3 linked regions of the Caenorhabditis elegans genome follow. The protein of the gene in region 1 interacts with the protein of each later gene in a pairwise test. Each region holds a gene or a part of one and is shown in the gene's direction. Other genes may lie near its edges.

Region 1 (6,885 bases):
CTACTTTTTTCTCTGGACGTGAAAAACGCCAAGAATAACCGTTTTGCCGTCTGCGTCTCTTCTTTCACACTCTATTTTGGCTGTGGACGAGGAATTCTCCTCTTCCAGGATTTTCTAGGCCATTTTCTCACATTTCTCAAGTTTTCTCGTCCGCGAGAAAACGTGAATTTTGAGACAGCCAGCGAGCACGTGCTTACACTGAACAAGAACAGCGGAACCAGCAGCACACTAAAATACAGCAACCCAATGATTTGAAACCCAACTGACATAAAAGCGAGAAGAATTGACACAAAGTAAATAAAATGAATGAAATCCGAAACAGTCACATTTTAAAATATATTTTTTCATCATTCCAGAAATTCTTCAAAGAAAAAAAGTTGAGAAAACAGTGGATGAGGATCATGAAGATGAAGTATGCGGTCTGAAAAATGGAAAGTCTGAAATTCAGAAAAAAACCACAAAAAAAAAATAAAAAATTGCGATTTTTGTTTGAATTCCCTCCAAAATTAGAGCTGCCATCTGATTGGTTCAAAAATGGGCGGAGCGAATCGCTGATTGGTCTATCACGCCAAAATTGAAAAATCACGGGGATTTTTCACGCTTTTCTTTTGTGGTATTTCTGATTTTGAGTTTACTTTGCATTTTTTGAAGCAAAAATCATCAAAAATTTATTAGATACTGTGGAAATATGTTTTACTTGTTGCTTGAATGAATTTTTAGCCAAATTCGGTGCATTCAATAAGATAGCCCAACATTGGAGCTCAGAACAAAGAAACTTCCTGTCTTAAAATGAATGAATCTATTGTTACGCAAAAGAGTATTTTAATTGTTTTCCAAAACTGAAAACTGTTGCTTTTTTTGTTTTTAAAGTTTATCTTCAGTTCTGAGTCTTAGCAGAAAATAATTGATTTTTCAAAATTTCGGCGAAACTTCGAAAGAAAGTGGAAAAAATACCAGAATTAAATAAAGTCGTTTTATTTTCGTTTTTCGAACATTTTCGAAAACGAAAACGAAAAAATTCGTTTTCGTCAAAACCCCGAAAACAACGAAAAAACGAAAACGCGAAAACGAAAAAGTCCCAGCCCTGGTCCCAACCAACCGGAATCCACGAACAACAGACATCAATTCCATAGAAAAATGTTTCGAATCGTCCCCGTCTTCCTGTAATTACAGGTTCACCATCAGTGCAGTCTCCACGTCGTGATCATCTTCTTCGCTCATAATTAATAAAGGTATAGGATGTAACTGCCACTCACGCACACTGATCGATCTTATAAGGGTTTATTAAGTAAAAGGGAACAGACGAATTGCATCGTCGAAACAGAGTAAACGAGAGAAAAGGGAAAACGACAAGTAACGGGTTAAAGAGTTAATAAATGATCACAAATGAGCGTCGTCCTCTCCTTATATAGGCATTCCGGGTTAAAGGCGCAGCCTTTAACGACGACGGGTCTCGGCGCGACAAGGCGACCTTCTGTAGCTTGGCGGCGGTTTGAACTGGAGTTTCTCCTCCTCGCGGATTGCCTTCGCTGTAGAAATCGTTGTCCTCGACCGATTTCGTCCGTTCTTTCTGTAAATTATCAGAGAGAATTTAAAGGCAAATAAATTAGTATTTATTTATGTAAAATGTGAAGTGAAAAGGGTGGGAATCCTTACAAATTGCAATATTTTTGTTTTATAATCTGCAGAATTTCAATGAAAAAATCACATTTTCAGTCGAAATTCAAAAGTTCTTACCGATAATAAATTGCTGTTTTCGTTCGAAATGAATAGAAATCGAGAAATGATTAATTTTTTCTCTAATCTAAAGAAAATCAATAATTTAAATTTTTTTAAATTCAGTTTCCCGTGTCGCCCTGTTTTCTGGAAAAAGATTAGAAAATCCAATTTCTTGTTCTGTCTTTCGCCGAAGAAACACGCGTTTTCCCTGGGGAAATCATCAAATGGTTCGTTTTTTTAAAAAGATTTTTGAGCAAAAAGGTCTCACCGCGACAAGTTCTTGTGAAATAAAAACGGGTATGCGCCTTTAAGGAGTACTGTGGATTTTTAGAGTTTTTTCGATGAAATAACGATTTATTTTTTATCAATTTCATTGTAAAGTCAATGAATTTATTAGAAAGCTTTCGAAAGAAAAAACCTAGGCCTCTAAACTTCTGCTAGGTTACTGTAGATTTTTCAAGAGAATAAGAGAACCGGCTCAGATTTTTGTTGCAAACTCTGCCGATTGTTAGTTGTTTGATTTTTATCGATTTTCCGCCAAATATCTCTCAGCTCTTATCACTGAAAGTGATTGAAACACATGAAAAGTGACACAAAGTGTCGTCAATACACCACATTTGACGACATTTTGCGGACTTTTTTCTGTGGCTGGTGATTTTTCCACAGGTTTTTTGCATTTTTTTGCATTTTTTTTGTGGCAAATTCAATAGACTATTTGCCACGTTTTATTGTATCTTTTTTGTTGAAAAAATTCAAAAAAATATTTTTAATTCAAAAATTTTAATTCCTTATTCCCTTCAGATGCACAGAGCACTTCTCAACGCCTCGAGACGGGTGGCAACCGTCAGAAGCATGGCTTCTACCGTTGAAGGAGACGCTTTCCGGCTCAGCGAGTACAGCTCAAAGTATTTGGGCCATAGAAAAGTAATTTATTCTTAATTTATTATTTTTCTATTTTTTCCCCATTTAAAATACTAAACTTCACTTTTTTCAGGCCGCTTTCACTGAAAAACTAGAAATCGTGAACGCCGACGACACGCCAGCACTGCCAATCTACAGAGTCACCAACGCCGTCGGTGACGTCATCGACAAGTCGCAGGACCCAAATTTCGACGAGCAAACTTCGCTGAAAATGTACAAAACGATGACACAGCTGAATATTATGGATCGGATCCTGTATGATTCGCAGCGTCAAGGACGCATCTCGTTTTATATGACAAGCTTCGGAGAAGAAGGAAATCATGTCGGAAGTGCCGCCGCTCTCGAGCCACAGGATCTGATTTATGGACAATATCGTGAAGCCGGGGTCCTGCTGTGGAGAGGATATACTATGGAGAATTTCATGAATCAGTGCTATGGAAATGCGGATGACTTGGGAAAAGGTCCGAGAAAAACCTTGATTTTGCTTTTAAAAAATCGATATTTCTGGAGAAAGTCAACCTATTTTTCCGTTTTTTTTTCAATTTTTCTTCACTTCGATTCCCGAATTTTGCAAAAAAAAACTGTGCCGCACAGAAAAAGAGGTGGGGCGTAATTTTGCAACGACGTGGCACGGTTTTTCCTCTTTTTTGTTGATTTTTCCTTTTTTCTCCGAAAATTTACAATATTTCTTGAAAATATTATTCAATTTACTACTCATAAGATTGTGCGAATTAGGTAACATTTTTACTTAAAAAAAGAAAATAAGAAAAATTGTGAATTTTTGGAAAAAATCATTGAAAAAGGAGGAAAAACCGTGCCGCAGGGTTGCAAAATTACGCTCCGCATCTTTTTCTGTGCGGCGGCGCTTTTTTTTGCAAAAAAAAAATCACGAATCGATTTATCTAAAAAATTTTGAAAAAAATCATCAAAAAAAGAGGAAAACCGTGCCGCAGGGTTGAAAAATTACGCTCCACCCCTTTTTCTGTGCCGCGCTATTTTTTTTCAAAAAAAAATCACGAATCGATTTCTCAAAAAAATTTTGAAAAAAACCATTGAAAAAGGAGGAAAAACCGTGCCGCAGGGTTGCAAAATTACGCCACGCCTCTTTTTTTGTGCGGCGGCGCTTTTTTTGCAAAAAAATCACGAATCGATTTATCCAAAAAATTTGAAAAAAAATCATCAAAAAGCCAGGAAAAATCGAGACCCGAAGAACTCGGGGGATGTCCAATTGGGGGGATTACCAACTCGGGGGATTGGCCCCGCCCACAGAACCGTGGCTTGCAATACACCCATTTCTGCAACTGCCGCACGGTTTTAAAACTGTATTTTTATTAATAGAGCGAGAAATAACAAGAAAAAATATTTTTAAAACCGTGCGGCAGTTGCAGAAATGGGCGTATTGCAAGCCACGGTTCTGTGGGCGGGGCCAATCCCCCGAGTTGGTAATCCCCCCAATTGGACATCCCCCGAGTTCTTCGGGTCTCGAAAAATCGTGCCGCAGGGTTGCAAAATTACGCCCCGCCTCTTTTTCTGTGCGGCGTCGTTTTTTTTTGTCTTTTTTACAAAAAAAATCACGAAAAAATTTAAAAAAAAAGGAAAAATCTGATGAAAAACTCGAAGAAAAATCGATTTTTAAGGAAAAATTGAGTGGAATTTTTTAAAAATCCGAAAAAAAAATTTGAAAATTTTTGAACAAAAGCTCCAGCAGCCGCTGGTCTTCGAATTCCAAGATTTTTTCAAAAACCAAAAATTCCATTTTCAGGCCGCCAAATGCCAATGCATTTCGGAACAAAAGAGCGAAACTTTGTCACAATCTCATCTCCACTGACCACTCAACTTCCACAAGCCGTCGGCTCAGCGTACGCTTTCAAGCAACAAAAGGATAATAATCGCATCGCAGTCGTCTATTTCGGAGATGGAGCCGCTTCTGAAGGAGATGCTCACGCAGCGTTCAACTTCGCCGCCACTCTCAAATGCCCGATTATTTTCTTCTGTAGAAACAACGGATACGCCATTTCTACGCCGACTAGTGAACAGTATGGAGGAGATGGAATTGCTGGAAAGGGACCGGCTTATGGTCTTCATACTATTAGGTAGAGAGAACTGGATTCGTTGAAAAGCAGTGCCACCGCACGGAAAAAGAGGCGGAGCGCAAGAATTTGCAGTTTTTGGCTTGATTTTGCTTGATTTTGAATCATTTTTTGACAAAAAAAATTGTAATTTCTGAAATTTTACAATTTTCTCTTGTTTTTCCCTTTTTTTCCTCCATTTTTTCGCGATTTTCTCGTGAAATTGGCAAAAATTCGAAAATATAAAAAAAATATACGAAAATTAAAGAAAAAACCCACAATTAATCGGTAAAAAATCACCAAAATAAGAATTTCAGCCTAAAAAAGTGCGCCGCAGGTTTGCGAAAACGAGGCTCCGCTCCTTTTTCTGTGCGATCACAGAATTCTGAAAATGCGTATTGCACAACATATGTTATCACGTCAAATATGTTGTGAAATACGCATTTTCAGAACTCTGTGGTCGCACAGAAAAAGAGGCGGAGCTTAGGTTTTGCAAACCTGCGGCGTGCCGTTTATTTTACGAGAAAATCGCGGGAAAAAGTGGAACAAAATTACGAAAAAGAAGAGAAAATTGTAGATTTTCAGAAAATTGACTAATTTTGCCAAAAATTGAAAAAAAAATCGAATCTTAAGGCGCGCCGCAGACTTGCAAAACTACGCCCCGCCCATTTTTCTGTGCGACGCAGCTTTTTTCTTTTGCAAGAAATAAATCACGGATCGATTGTTCAGTATCTGTTTGCATACCTAAATATATTTTTTAAAAATCATCAAAAATAAAGGAAAAACCGTGCCGCAGGGTTGCAAAATTACGCCCCGCCCATTTTTCTGTGCGGCACTTGCGAATATTCTATCTATATAATCTAATATTATCTTCTAAAAAGAGGAAAAATGAGCTATTTTTGAAATATAAAATTGGAAATTTAAAAAATAACAAAAAATTTCAAAATTTTTTCCAGAGTCGATGGAAACGACCTTCTCGCCGTCTACAACGCGACAAAAGAAGCCCGCCGAGTCGCCCTCACCAACCGCCCAGTGCTCATCGAGGCCATGACCTACCGCCTCGGCCATCATTCAACATCCGACGACTCGACCGCCTACCGATCTTCCGATGAAGTTCAAACATGGGGAGACAAGGATCATCCGATCACTCGCTTCAAGAAGTACATCACGGAACGTGGATGGTGGAATGAGGAGAAGGAGATGGAATGGCAGAAAGAGGTGAAGAAGCGTGTGCTCACCGAGTTCGCCGCAGCTGAGAAGCGGAAGAAGGCGCATTATCATGATTTGTTCGAGGATGTTTATGATGAGCTTCCACTCAGACTTCGCCGTCAGAGAGATGAGCTGGATGCTCATGTTGCGGAGTACAAGGAGCATTATCCGATGTTGGAGACTCTTCAATCGAAGCCTTAAATTCATTTTTTGTGATGCTTTTTTTTTCTATGAAAATATTACTAGAATACGTTTTTTTTTTGTAGATTTTCCTGTGCCATTCCGATGTGTTTTATCAAATAGATTTTGCTTTTATTTATGAACCCTCATGTTTTGTTTCTAGGTGCCTTTTCCCGTGTTCCCCGCATATTTCTTTTGTCAGCCCCTTCCCACCTTTCAATATGGAGAGGATACCCCACACTGTTTTATCGATTTTTGTGTCCTGAATAGGGCGTATAACAAATAAAATAGACCGAATGCTCGAAAAATTTTAATTTTTGCAATTTATTGCCACTGAACAACCAATTGTTCGTATCAATACGACAGCACAAATTTCTTCTTTTTTTTATCAATTTTCTTTATCTTTTTTTTGTATTTTTCTCTAATTCTCTCACGATTTCTCTATATCTTTTCTTTGCAATCTTCTCTTGTCGGTTTTGACCGAAAATTTTTAATGTTCTATGTTCTTTTTTTTTTCAAACGAAAATTTTAGGATTTTGGTCTCGACACGACAATTTTAGTTTTGTGCAAACAGGTGTGCGCCTTTAAAGAGTACTGTAGTTTCAAACTTGTGTATTTGCGGAATTTTCATTAATTTTTCGTAGTTTTTTGGATAAAAATCGATTAAATTATCAAATATCAAAAGAAAATTTCAATGAAACCCGGAGAAAACTGAAAAAGTTAAATTTAAAAATTAAAAAAAATACAATTTTTACATTGCAAAAAGGCATGCGCCTTTAAAGAGTAC
Region 2 (4,782 bases), on another chromosome or scaffold:
CTGTTGTGAATTTTTCAGATGTCGATCCAAAATCTCTTCTCTGTGTATTCTTCAAACAAGGTCTTTGCGGAAAAGGAGCAAAGTGCAAATTCAGTCACGATTTGGCAGTTGCTCAGAAGACAGCGAAGAAGAACCTGTATGCAGACAGCAGAGAAGTCGAAAAAGACGGTTTGCACCAAATTAAACGTTTTTTTTTGTAATTTCTAAGCATTCCAGAAGAAACAAACGAGAACTGGGACTCGGACAAATTGAATGAAGTGGTCAATAAGAAAAATAAAAATAAACATATGATTGATATTGTAAGCAGTTTCATGACAGACATTTTTAAGTTTAAAAAATTGAATTTTAAGGTTTGCAAGTACTTCTTGGAAGCTGTAGAGAACAACAAGTACGGTTGGTTTTGGGAATGTCCGAATGGAGGAGAAAAATGTCAATATCGGCATTGTCTACCAGAAGGATATGTTTTGAAAAAGGAACGGAAAGCAATGGAGCAACAAAAAGAAGATGAAATTAGTATTGAGGAACTTGTTGAGAAAGAGGTATACTTATAGGGGAAAATAGTGGCAAAAACATTGTTAAAAGTTATTTCAATTTGAAAGACCACATAAATTAAATTTTATTCCAATTTTTCGTAAGAATTATAGTTTAACATTTCCAGAGAGCCGCTTTGAGTTCGAAAAATCTCACAAAATTAACACTCCAAACCTTCATTGCCTGGAAGAAGAAGAAGTTAAGAGAGCGAAAAGAGAAAGAAGAAGCCGATTTGAAAGAAAAGAAAGAGAAGATCAAATCTGGAAAACATGTAAGAAATTTGAATTTTTATTTAAATTTACTACTTTAATTTCTGTTTCTCGTCTCTTTACATAAATTAATGTTTTCTTTTTTTAGAATGGAATGTCTGGACGTGATCTTTTCTTATATGACGCCAATCTGGTCAACAACGACGACGACGAGGCCGGAGATATTGAGATGGAGAAGGAAGAAGTTGATGTTAGTTTTTGAAATTAATTATTTTAATTTTACAAAAATTTAAATAATTTCAGGAGAATGAAAAGGTATTTGAAATCGATGCCAACTTCTTCAAATTCGACGGAATGGACGATGAACTGACGGATCAAATGAGCAAATCCTCGACTGCTGTTGAATCTACTGCTAAAGGTAATTTTTTTCAGTGCGTAAATAAAAAACAATTTTCGTCAAATTTGAATGGCTAATTTTTCTGTTAAAAAACTATTTTTGACACGTGGCTTTTCTCTGGCTGTCAATATCCTCATTTCATTCTTATCAACACAAAAAAATTCAAACATCATTTTGGCTGTCACTTCAAAATCTGTTATCTTTCGGCAAAAATCAATTGAATTTCTCCCTTTCCCACAGACACACGTTTTGCAAAAAAAAAAACGTTTTCTTTATTGTGTCTGGGTCTCTTGTGGCGAGCCGACACACTATCTCAAAAACTAATTTCAAAAATTGCAGGAATGGCAAAGATGGACATCAACGAGGACTTGTTCGACATTGACGAAGACGTTGAAAACCTCGATTCTGATGAGGATTGAAGAGTATACTTCTGGTGCTCCCCCTTTTTTCCTGTTCTTTTTCTGTTTTTGCTTTGAATTTCAGTGTTTCTTTTTTCCCGATTCCCCTGCTATCTATTATTATTTCTTGTTTGTCACGACTAACCGGTAGTCCCAATTTTCTCTGTATTTGATTATTTTTTTCAAATTACAAGGGACTATTATTTGAAGTTTTCTCCATTTTTTGGTGTCGTTTTGTTATAAATTCATTACAATTCAGATGATTTATTTTAATTTTGAAAAAATATCGGTTTTGCCCGATTCATTTATCTTTTATTTTAATCTTCAAATAATGCGTGAACTTTTGATTGAAAAAATTAATTAACTTGGAAATCCTATAAAAGTTTATTTTAAAATTATTGCGATCTTCAGATGAGTTCCCGAGCCGTAAGCCTCTTCTCAAAATGTGGATCCAGAATCTCCCAAACTCGAGGAAAAGCTCACTTCACGTTTCAACCATCAACCACACTTCCAGCAGGACTTGAAAATCTTGAAAAGACTAAAATGAATTTGATGCAGTCTGTTAATGAAGCGATGAGAATTGCAATGGAAACAGATGATTCTGCTGTTCTTTTTGGTGAAGATGTTGCTTTTGGTGGTGTCTTCAGATGTAGTTTGGATCTTCAAAAGAAGTTCGGAAAAGATCGAGTCTTCAATACTCCACTTTGTGAGCAGGGAATTGCTGGATTCGGAATTGGAGTCGCAGCGGCTGGAGCAACTGCCATTGCTGAGATTCAGTTTGGTGATTACATCTTCCCAGCTTATGATCAGGTAATATCCGGAATAAATATTATGGAAATAAAAAAAATTATTCCAGCTTGTCAACGAGGCAGCCAAGTTCAGATACCGTTCGGGAAATCAATTTGACTGTGGAAAACTGACTGTAAGAACAACATGGGGAGCCGTAGGACATGGAGCTCTATACCATTCACAGAGTCCTGAAGCTAACTTCACCCATACCCCAGGATTAAAGCTTGTTGTTCCACGTGGGCCAGTTCAAGCCAAAGGACTTCTTCTGTCGTGCATTCGTGATCCGAATCCATGTATTTTCTTCGAACCAAAGATTCTTTATCGATTGGCTTCTGAAGATGTTCCAACTGGAGATTACACAATTCCACTGGGACAAGCTGAAACTGTTCGTTCTGGAAAAGATTTGACACTTGTTGCCTGGGGAACACAGGTTCATGTTGCTCTTGAAGCAGCTCAATTGGCCAAGGAGAAGCTCAATGCAGATGTTGAAGTTATTGATCTTCAGACGATTCAACCTTGGGACGAGGATCATGTAGTAGAGGTGAATTATTACAAAATTCTGCGAATGCGTATTGCGCAACATATTTGACGCGCAAAATATCTCGTAACGCAAAGTACAGTAATTCTTTAAGTGACTACTGAAGCGTCGATTTACGGGCTCGATTCTTGAAATTAATTTTTTGCGATTAGTTCGTTTCTCCGTTTGGATTTTAATATTCTATCGATAAATCAATGATCTAGCCCGTAAATCGACACAAGCGCTGCAGAAGTCATTTAAAGAACTACTGTAGTTTTCGCTGCGAGATATTTTGCGTTTTTTGTTTGTGTTCGCGTAATATTTGGATGTTGAGTGATTAAATATGAATTATTTTTCAGAGTGTTCAAAAAACTGGTCGACTCATTGTCACTCATGAAGCTCCGATTTCTTCTGGTTTTGGAGCTGAAATTGCTTCTACTGTTCAGGTAAATAATTTATATTTTACTTTCCTTTTTCAAATAATAAATTAACAATCAAAAATATTACAGAAACGTTGCTTCCTGAACCTTGAATCTCCAATAGATCGTGTTGCTGGATTCGATACACCATTCCCACACGTTCACGAACCATTCTACCTGCCAACTGTTCATCGAGTTTTCGACGCAATCAAGAAGAGTGTTAACTATTAGAATATGTATTTGATATAAGAAATTATACAAGGTAACAACGAAACCGTGTAGAAAAGTAGAATATTTTCTTGTTTTAGCCTAATTTTCTGTTCAAACGGTGCCATCTGCATTTTAAATCACCCATATTTTATTCCGGTCCAAATCGCTAAACCCATCATCATAAATGTGTTGGTTTTTGACATTATATGTCGAACATTCCCTCAATTGCTCGTTTTAGATATTTTCAGTGTGCTATAGTTCTTTTATGTGTTTTATGAATAAATGTATGAATTGATTTTTCTAAAAGTATTTTCATCTTTTTTCTTCGTTGGATTCTCATCTAATATTTGATTTTTGATTTTTCCTGTAAAAACGGGAAATGCGGATTTTCAGATCTCTTCAAAAAGCGGGATGAACCATATAATAGCTGCGGGTCTTCTAATCATTGTCTCAATTGCATCAATTATTCCTGGATTTCCTGTGCTCATCTGGCTTCAGAGTTATTTCCCAGAGCTCCCAGAATATTACACAATTGATAGTATTGCTGTCTATAGTGTTCAGGTTAATATTCTCATTTTCATCAGATACCTGTAATATTACCCGGTTCCAAAATTTTGCAATTTTTGACATACAATACTTTATCTCGAAGCGACCGAAAGATCCCAGTTACCGTACCCACAAGTCTTCCTACCGCATATTTGCATCTTTCTGTTCAATGTTTTTTGCAATCACTGGAAAATTTGGAAAGAAGCTCAAATTGTAAGAAATACTGATATAAGCAACATTAAAAAGCGAGAAACTTGCGGGTACGGTAACCATGAAGTTTTCGGGCCCAAAATTGCATCTTTTCTAAACTAAGTAACTTGTAGACTGCTAATTTTGTTTCAGTTTTTGAATTTAATTTTCAGGCCGGAATTATCTTCATCCTCGGAATCCTGTCAATGTGTCTCTACTCGGACATCGCTTGCCCACTTGCCATCAAGGGATATGCTGCCATTTTTTCCAGAATGTGATTAATTAATTATATATTGCCAAATTTGAATTTTTCTGTGAAAATGTACAAATCGAAATAACAATTTTTTATGCTATGAATTTTTTTCGCATAACACTTTGAAAAGAAGCATACGTAAATATGAGCGTATTACGTGAACACTTAACTTTTGGAATGTATATTGCGAAACATATTTAACGCTCAAAACATCCCGTAGCGAAAACTACAGTAACTCTTTGAATGACTACTGTAGCACTGGTGTCGATTTACTGAAATCTTTTATTTGTCGATAAAATATTGGAACAAAACACAACAATGGCA
Region 3 (7,280 bases), on another chromosome or scaffold:
TGTAGCTTTGCGAATCTTTTTTGCAACTGCTCGTACTCTCGCTTCTTTCGCTCTATCTTCTCGTCGAGCTCTGCCTCATCGCTGGCCACGTTGTTCAGCTTGTTCTGAAAATTTGAGAGGTTAGCTGGGGAGCCTGCACCTAACCTAATTGTAAGTGACTCAGACCCTCCGGGCTTTAAGAACAATCACGTGGGTTCGAGTGGAGTGGGTGTTGCTTCAAGCCAGTTAGGCTAATTCAGTCTATTCCTTCAGCTCCAAGATCCTCAGCGGACTCCTCGAGGCTAGGGGTCTCTGAGCTTCTGGAGAAGATGCACAGGCCCGGTCTAGTGGCTTGAAGCCCTGCATATACCACTAGAGTTCAGGTAATGAAGCTTCAAAGTCTGAATCAAAGTTCAAGTCACTCTTTGACCAAGCCCACGCCATTAGAAGAAGTCCAAGCTTTTTACTGTCCGCTTCACAATCAGGATCGAGCCAGGCCAATCTCTCAAACTCTAAGACGCCAGAGCTCAAACCTACGCCACCAGGAGCTCCGTGACCCGTCAAGCTTACCGATAGCTGCTCAGTCTCCTGAGCGATGTTCTGCACTGTTGCCTGCAGCACCTTCTCGGCCTCAGCAAGTGGTACCGCCCGTGACGCGGCTCTCTCGTGTTGCTGAGATATGAACTCCTGCCGGGACAGCAGCTCACTGAGCAGGGCACCTGTTTCCGGGAGTTGTGATGATAGCTGACGAGTGATTCGGACCTCCTGCATCTGAACTTTCGACAGTTTTTTCAGGCTTTTTCAGGCTGGTGGCCTGTGAGACCCACCTTCGACGAGAGCTTATTCTTGACTTGGGTCCATTTTGGCGAGTTATCAGTGTTCGGGTCCTCTGCCTTGGCCTGGTAGAGGATCTTCATGGCCGGTAGGAGTTCCTGCACCGCATGACCATCAGCCTGGTACAACTTTTTTGGATTCATCTTGATTCTCGAATTTTGGAGCATCAGGAGTACCGCGTTCTTGATGAAAGCGACCCGATCAGCTTCTGTTTGGACTTCGTGTGCGTCAAGGTTGGATTCGGGCTCAAATCTGGAATTTTTGGGCTTAGAGTAGGCTTGGAAGTTAGTGGCCAAAGTTTCTATATTTTTCGGCCAACGATTTTTTTCACTGGGAAACTAACTTTTTCACGATCCATTCCAGCAATTCAGCCACCAGCTGAAAATTTGGGGTCCGGAAATTCTCAATTGACATCAAGCGAGGGTATCGGAGGCTTCGCGTCATCTCACACAGGTCTGAAGTTGGCGAAATTTGGGACTAGAATCCGAACTCGGCCATGATTTTGTAAAATTCAATTTTAAGTGTATTTTGGGTCTTTTTTTTGCGTTTTATGGTTTAGAAACATTTCTCACCTAGATTTTAATGCAACACTTATTTTTTCCATATGAAAATCTCAAAGTTCAAATTTAAAATTAAAAAAGCCTTAAAAACTTACTTCTCAGCTCACGATACGACATTTTTCGTGCAGAATTCAATTGAAACTTCTCTTCTCAACAATTGCCTGCCTATTCCCCCATTCAATATTTCCTCCGTTCCCATAGAAACTCCCTGCAAACACCCCAAAGACTACGGTCGACGAGCTTCTGCAGCTCAACCGGCGTTTTGTACGCAAACACCGCGACGCCATATTGCACACATTTTTCGAGAGGAGCGCCGCGCGCATTTTCTCCGAGTTTTGTTTGCTTTTTTGCGCATCTTTCATTGATTTTTTATTAAAATCGGGGGAAATATGGTTTAAATTATCGATTTCCGCCTGTTTTAGTGGTGAAAATGTGAAAAATCGTAGTGAAAAACCCTAGAAACCAGTAAAATTCTATTTGGAAGGGTTTTGGTCTAAATTTTGAGTTTTTAGCATTAAAACAATATGCTCAGCAGAAAAACTAATGAAAATGTGAGAATTTTGAATCAAAATACCTAAATTTTTTAAAAAATCCTAGTTTTTCTCTATTTTTCTCAAAATTTCCGGCAAAAGCCTCAAAATTTCAATTAATTTCCGGTTTTTCAGGTAATCCCCGGTCGAAATGGCTCTGAGAAAGTGTGGAAACCTGTTCGTGGCTCGTCTCGCTGGCACCTCGACCAGAGCGGCTTCCAGTGAGTAGAAATTGCAAAAAATGAATGGAAAAAAAACGAAAAAATCGCTGATTACCGGCTAAAAATGAAGAATTGAACGGAAAAAACGAATTTTAACCTAAAAAAGCATAAAAATCGCCAATTTTTTCAGCAATGACCGTCCGTGACGCCCTAAATCAGGCTATGGACGAGGAAATCAAACGTGACGACCGAGTTTTCCTGATGGGAGAAGAAGTTGCTCAGTACGACGGAGCTTACAAGATTTCCAAGGGATTGTGGAAGAAGCACGGTGATAAGCGAGTCGTCGACACTCCAATTACTGAAATGGGATTCGCTGGTACGGGAAATCACGCTGGAAATCGAGAAAAATCGAGAAATGTTGACTCGGAACGTCAAAATCACTAATAAATCCCCAAAAACAGCACCATTTTTTCGAAAAGAAAGTGTCCAAATTTACTTTAATTTTGGATCTTTTCTCTCAAAAGTTCAGTTTTTACACTAAAAATTGGATTTTTCGAACAAATTTCGGAAATTTTCCTAAAAACAATTAATTTTCGGCATTTTTTATTGAAAATTTCAATATTCACTGCAAAAAGCTCGGAAATTACGGAGTTTTGATATTTTTCGCAGAAAATTCCGGTTTTATCAAAATTTTGTCGAAAATTAAGCTGAAAAATCACATTTTTTATATAAAAATCAGATTTTTCCCAATGTTATTTGCAGAAAAGCTCTAAGACCGCGCAAATTCAATTTTTCAGCAAAAATTGTCTAAAAAGCTCGAATTTTCGCATTTTTCTCGATTTATTCAATTTTTAGCAAAATTTTTTCAGAAAAAACTGAAAATTCCTCCAAAAAAATCACATTTTTTTCAGGAATCGCCGTCGGTGCTGCCTTCGCCGGGCTCCGTCCAATTTGCGAGTTCATGACATTCAATTTTTCCATGCAAGCCATCGATCAGATTATTAATTCAGCCGCAAAAACATATTATATGTCCGCCGGAAGGGTACGGTCTTGGCAATGTGCCACGTTTTCTGGAAATTGCGATTTTCAGCGAAAAAATAGCCGAAAAATTGAAGATTTTCACCAAATTTTTGACTAATTCGTGAGAAATCACGCTTTCTGCTATTTTTAGAACGAAATTCCTCGGTTTACACTGATTTTTCAGGAAAAAGTCAATTTCTGATACAAAAAATGCGATTTTTCTAGATTTTTGACTGAAAATCAGGGTTTTTCTGAAATTTCTACACAAATTTTACCTCAACAGAGCTGATTTTAGCTTTAAAATCCGATTTTTCTCGACTTTTCACTGAAAATTTCATTTTTTCAGCCATTTTCGTTGAATTTATGCTGAAAAATCATGTTTTTCACATGGTCTCACGCCATTTTGATAAGAAAAAATTTGTAAAAATCATCAACTGATAAGAATTCTTATCACTGAACACTTTCTGATCAGTGAATTTTATCAGAAATTGGAAATTTTTTTTCGGAAAATCGGTCCAAAACTGAGAAAATATAGGGAATTTATAACTTTTAAAGTTTTTTTTTCTTGTTTTTTTTTCTGAAAACACCGCTTTTCCAAGAAAAATACCGGAGAAAATGATATTTATAAAATCATTGAAGAAACATTTGAAAACGAAAATTGTAGAGATTTTGTAATATCTGAAGAAAAAAATCGAGAAAATTTATTTTCCAGGTACCCGTCCCAATCGTATTCCGTGGACCAAATGGAGCCGCCGCCGGAGTTGCTGCTCAGCATTCTCAAGACTTTTCAGCTTGGTATGCTCATTGTCCAGGACTGAAGGTTGTCTGTCCGTACAGTGCTGAAGATGCGAAGGGACTCCTGAAAGCTGCGATTCGTGACGATAATCCGGGTACTTGTCGCGAAAATTGGAGATTTTCGATGCAAAATTCAGATTTTCCAGAAAATTTCAGTCAACAACCGTGACAACTGGAAAACTTCTGATATTTTCGAAATTTTAGGATCAAATTAAGCGGTTTCTTGAAATTTTCCGGGTTACTGTAGCTCCAAAAGTACGCAAACACCATATTTTACGAAATTGGGAGCTTTTTGGCTGAAAATTTCAGTTTAGACTGATTAAAAGGTGGCAAATTTGAATTTTTAATTCATTTTTTGAGTTTTTAACGATTTTCTTGTGAAAAATGGTTTTCCGAACACCAATGTTTGCGTGCTTTTGACGCTACAGTAACCCCGAATCAAAAAATCGGCGCTATTTTCATCAAAAATTTGAGAAAAGTCGGTTTTTGTTTAGTTTTTTCATTCAAAAATGTTTTTTTTTTACTTTTTTTCCGGAGATTTACATTGTAAAATCTAAATTTCGAAAAATATTGTGCAAATTTAGCAGTTTTTCAGGAAAAAATCCAAAAAAAATTAAAAATTCTATAGGAAAATATCTGAAAACCAGTTTTTTTTCAGTTTTGGCCGAAAATTCTGCGAAAATTTATAATATTCTCCTAAATTCAATTTTTCGGGAAAAATTCGAATTTTTTGCAGTTGTCTTCCTGGAAAACGAGATTCTCTATGGACAATCGTTCCCAGTCGGCGACGAGGTTCTTTCCGATGATTTCGTGGTTCCAATTGGCAAGGCAAAGATCGAAAGAGCTGGTGATCACGTAACAATTGTCTCGTATTCACGTGGAGTTGAATTTTCACTGGAAGCTGCAAAACAGCTTGAAGCTATCGGAGTTTCAGCAGAAGTTATTAATCTTCGCTCACTTCGTCCATTTGATTTCGAATCGATTCGTCAATCAGTTCATAAGACTCATCATTTGGTGTCTGTTGAGACTGGATGGCCATTTGCTGGAATTGGCTCAGAAATTGCTGCTCAAGTTATGGAGAGCGATGTTTTCGATCAACTTGACGCGCCACTTTTGAGGTCCGTAAGAGAAAATTTGCGAAAAATGGCTTAAAATGCTAAAAATTTGATGAATAACTGCTAAGAATGGCACAAAACTTGAAATTTTATCTTTAAAATGTTCCAAATTTGACATTTTCTGAAAAGTTGAAGGAAATACTCGAAATTATCTGAAAATTTTATAATTTCATTACAAAAACAAAAAGGACCCTAAAATATGAGGAAAACAGCTGAAAATTTGTGATTCTTTCGAATTTTTCTTGTTCTTTTTTAAAGAAAAAGCGAAAAATTCGAAAATAGCTCGAAAATCTTCGAAACATGCGAAAAATCGCATAAAATCCTTTAAAATTTTCCAAAACTCCCGAAAAACACTTCAAATTTTTGTAAAAATGATCCAAACCCGAATAAAAACCTCTAAAATGCGAGAAAATGCTCCAAAATCTCAGGAAAAAACCCCCATAGAGCTCATAAATTTCTCAAAATTGCTCCAAAGTTTTAGCAAATTTTCAAAAATCCTTTAAATTCCCCTAAAAAGCTCCAAAATTGCTGAATAATTCCTCGAAAATCTCTGAAAATTTCACAAAAAAGCTCTCAAATTTTAGAAAGTCTTCACAAATTTCCAAAACCTCTGAAAATTGCTTATAAATTTCTCAAAAATGCTCCAAGGTGCTCCAAACAGCCTAAACATCCCGAAAATGCTCCAAATCTGCTCAAAAGTTGCTCCAAAATCTCTGAAAAATTCTATAAAATCTTCAAAAGCCCTCCGCAATCTCACAATACATTGCTCCAAAATTCGCTTTATAAACTCTATACTTTCTCAAACAAGCTCAAAAAATGTTAGAAATTGCTCTAAATTCTCTGAAAAAGCTCCGAATTCGTTAGAAATTTCTACAAAATTCCCTAATAAGCTCCAAAATCCCCCGAAATGCTCTAAATTTCCTAAAAATCTTAAAAAATTTTCCAGAGTCACCGGAGTCGATGTTCCAATGCCATACACTCAAACTTTGGAGGCTGCCGCCCTTCCAACCGCCGAACACGTCGTGAAAGCTGTCAAAAAGAGCCTGAATATCGCATAATTTTCTGTTTTTTTTCGTTAAAAAATCGATTTTTCTCTAATTCTCATGACCCCCGATGCCTTTTTTCCCCTAATTTTTTTTTCAAAATTTTTGGAATTTTTAAAAATTTTTAGAGCTTTTTTTTTCGAGATTTTCCCCATTTTTAGGTACTTTTCCTGTTTTTATGTTCCCCGTTTAATAGTGATTTTAGTGAGTAAAACGAGTAATAAAAGTCCCCTCAATTTCATGTTTTATGGCTCCGCGATTTCCCCGGAGCAGCAAGGTGCTCCTTCTCCGAAATTCGGGAAAAATGCGCATTTTTCCTTTCCACATTTGTCATGCAAATTCGTCGTGTTTTTTGGGAATTTTTTTGGCGCGCGCGCCTTTTTTAGTTTTATATTTGTTTGTTTTTTAGTTTTTTTCTGGAAAAGTTTTTTTTGAAAACACTAATTTTTCAAAGGATTTTCCAAAAATTTTAATTTTTCTCTATTTTTCGCAAAATTCGAGTTTACCTCACCGAGAGCTTTCAAATGAGTATAATCATGACCTGTTTTGCCTGAAATTGAGTTGGGTCTCACCACGAAAATCCCAGGGTTACTGTATTTTTCGTGGCGAGACCCAACGTTTTTTTTCAAGTTCGAGCAATGTATGCCGTGATTATACTTGTTCGAAAGCTCTCAGTGAGCTGAATTCGAAAACACAAAATTTTTTTGAGAAAGTTTAAATTCACTGGGTCTCCCCACGAAAATCTCAGGATTACTATAAATTTCGTGGCGAGACCCACATTTTTTCAACTCCAAGAAAAGTAGGTCATGATTATACTTAAATCAAAGCTCTCGGCGAGCTTTATTTGAAAATACAGGAACTTTTTTATAAAATTGGAATTTGTTGGGTCCCGCCACGAAAACTTATAATTTTTTTTGGAAATATTTCTAAATAGTTTAATTTTTGGGTATTTTACGTCTAAAATTAGCACATTTTTGTAGTTTCAGCTAAAAATAATTTCCGTAACTAGTTTTTCAAAAAAAAATTTTAGGGAAAAAATCGAAAAAAAATAAAGTGTAACAATTTTTTTTGGGAAATTTTTTTTCCAATTTTTTTTCAAAAATTCCCTGACGTGGTCGGCACCCACCGTCACACAATAATAATGCACTCCAAAAATACTTCCATTCAGAAGAAAAAAGCGCTCCCCCAAATAATTTTGTCCTCAAGTGGAGGTTGCGACGATGCCTGGCCTCCGATTTTTGGT

Evidence for each region.
Region 2: the proteins of bckd-1A (region 1) and bckd-1B interact in a two-hybrid assay, tested with the Caenorhabditis elegans proteins (one large-scale study listed by BioGRID).
Region 3: the proteins of bckd-1A (region 1) and pdhb-1 interact in a two-hybrid assay, tested with the Caenorhabditis elegans proteins (one large-scale study listed by BioGRID).

Annotation. Positions count from the first base shown.
Region 1 is NC_003281.10:12,967,456-12,974,340, reverse strand, and holds bckd-1A (2-oxoisovalerate dehydrogenase subunit alpha), read left to right. Parts: upstream 1-1,943; coding exon 1,944-1,946; intron 1,947-2,520; coding exon 2,521-2,643; intron 2,644-2,713; coding exon 2,714-3,101; intron 3,102-4,402; coding exon 4,403-4,733; intron 4,734-5,665; coding exon 5,666-6,119; downstream 6,120-6,885. UniProt on the Caenorhabditis elegans protein: The branched-chain alpha-keto dehydrogenase complex catalyzes the overall conversion of alpha-keto acids to acyl-CoA and CO(2).
Region 2 is NC_003279.8:7,725,321-7,730,102, forward strand, and holds bckd-1B (2-oxoisovalerate dehydrogenase subunit beta, mitochondrial), read left to right. Parts: upstream 1-1,946; coding exon 1,947-2,345; intron 2,346-2,391; coding exon 2,392-2,865; intron 2,866-3,200; coding exon 3,201-3,287; intron 3,288-3,350; coding exon 3,351-3,491; 3' UTR 3,492-3,772; downstream 3,773-4,782. Other genes in the region: F27D4.4 (Zinc finger CCCH domain-containing protein 15 homolog), read left to right, coding at 19-168, 217-299, 351-539, 659-802, 889-990, 1,044-1,158, 1,477-1,556; F27D4.8 (Chromate transporter), read left to right, coding at 3,882-4,031, 4,379-4,483.
Region 3 is NC_003282.8:3,397,634-3,404,913, forward strand, and holds pdhb-1 (Pyruvate dehydrogenase E1 component subunit beta, mitochondrial), read left to right. Parts: upstream 1-2,038; 5' UTR 2,039-2,054; coding exon 2,055-2,124; intron 2,125-2,254; coding exon 2,255-2,440; intron 2,441-2,975; coding exon 2,976-3,106; intron 3,107-3,796; coding exon 3,797-3,974; intron 3,975-4,615; coding exon 4,616-4,997; intron 4,998-5,940; coding exon 5,941-6,052; 3' UTR 6,053-6,270; downstream 6,271-7,280. Other genes in the region: dyf-3 (Clusterin-associated protein 1 homolog), read right to left, coding at 1-104, 550-750, 807-1,065, 1,157-1,268, 1,469-1,490. UniProt on the Caenorhabditis elegans protein: The pyruvate dehydrogenase complex catalyzes the overall conversion of pyruvate to acetyl-CoA and CO(2).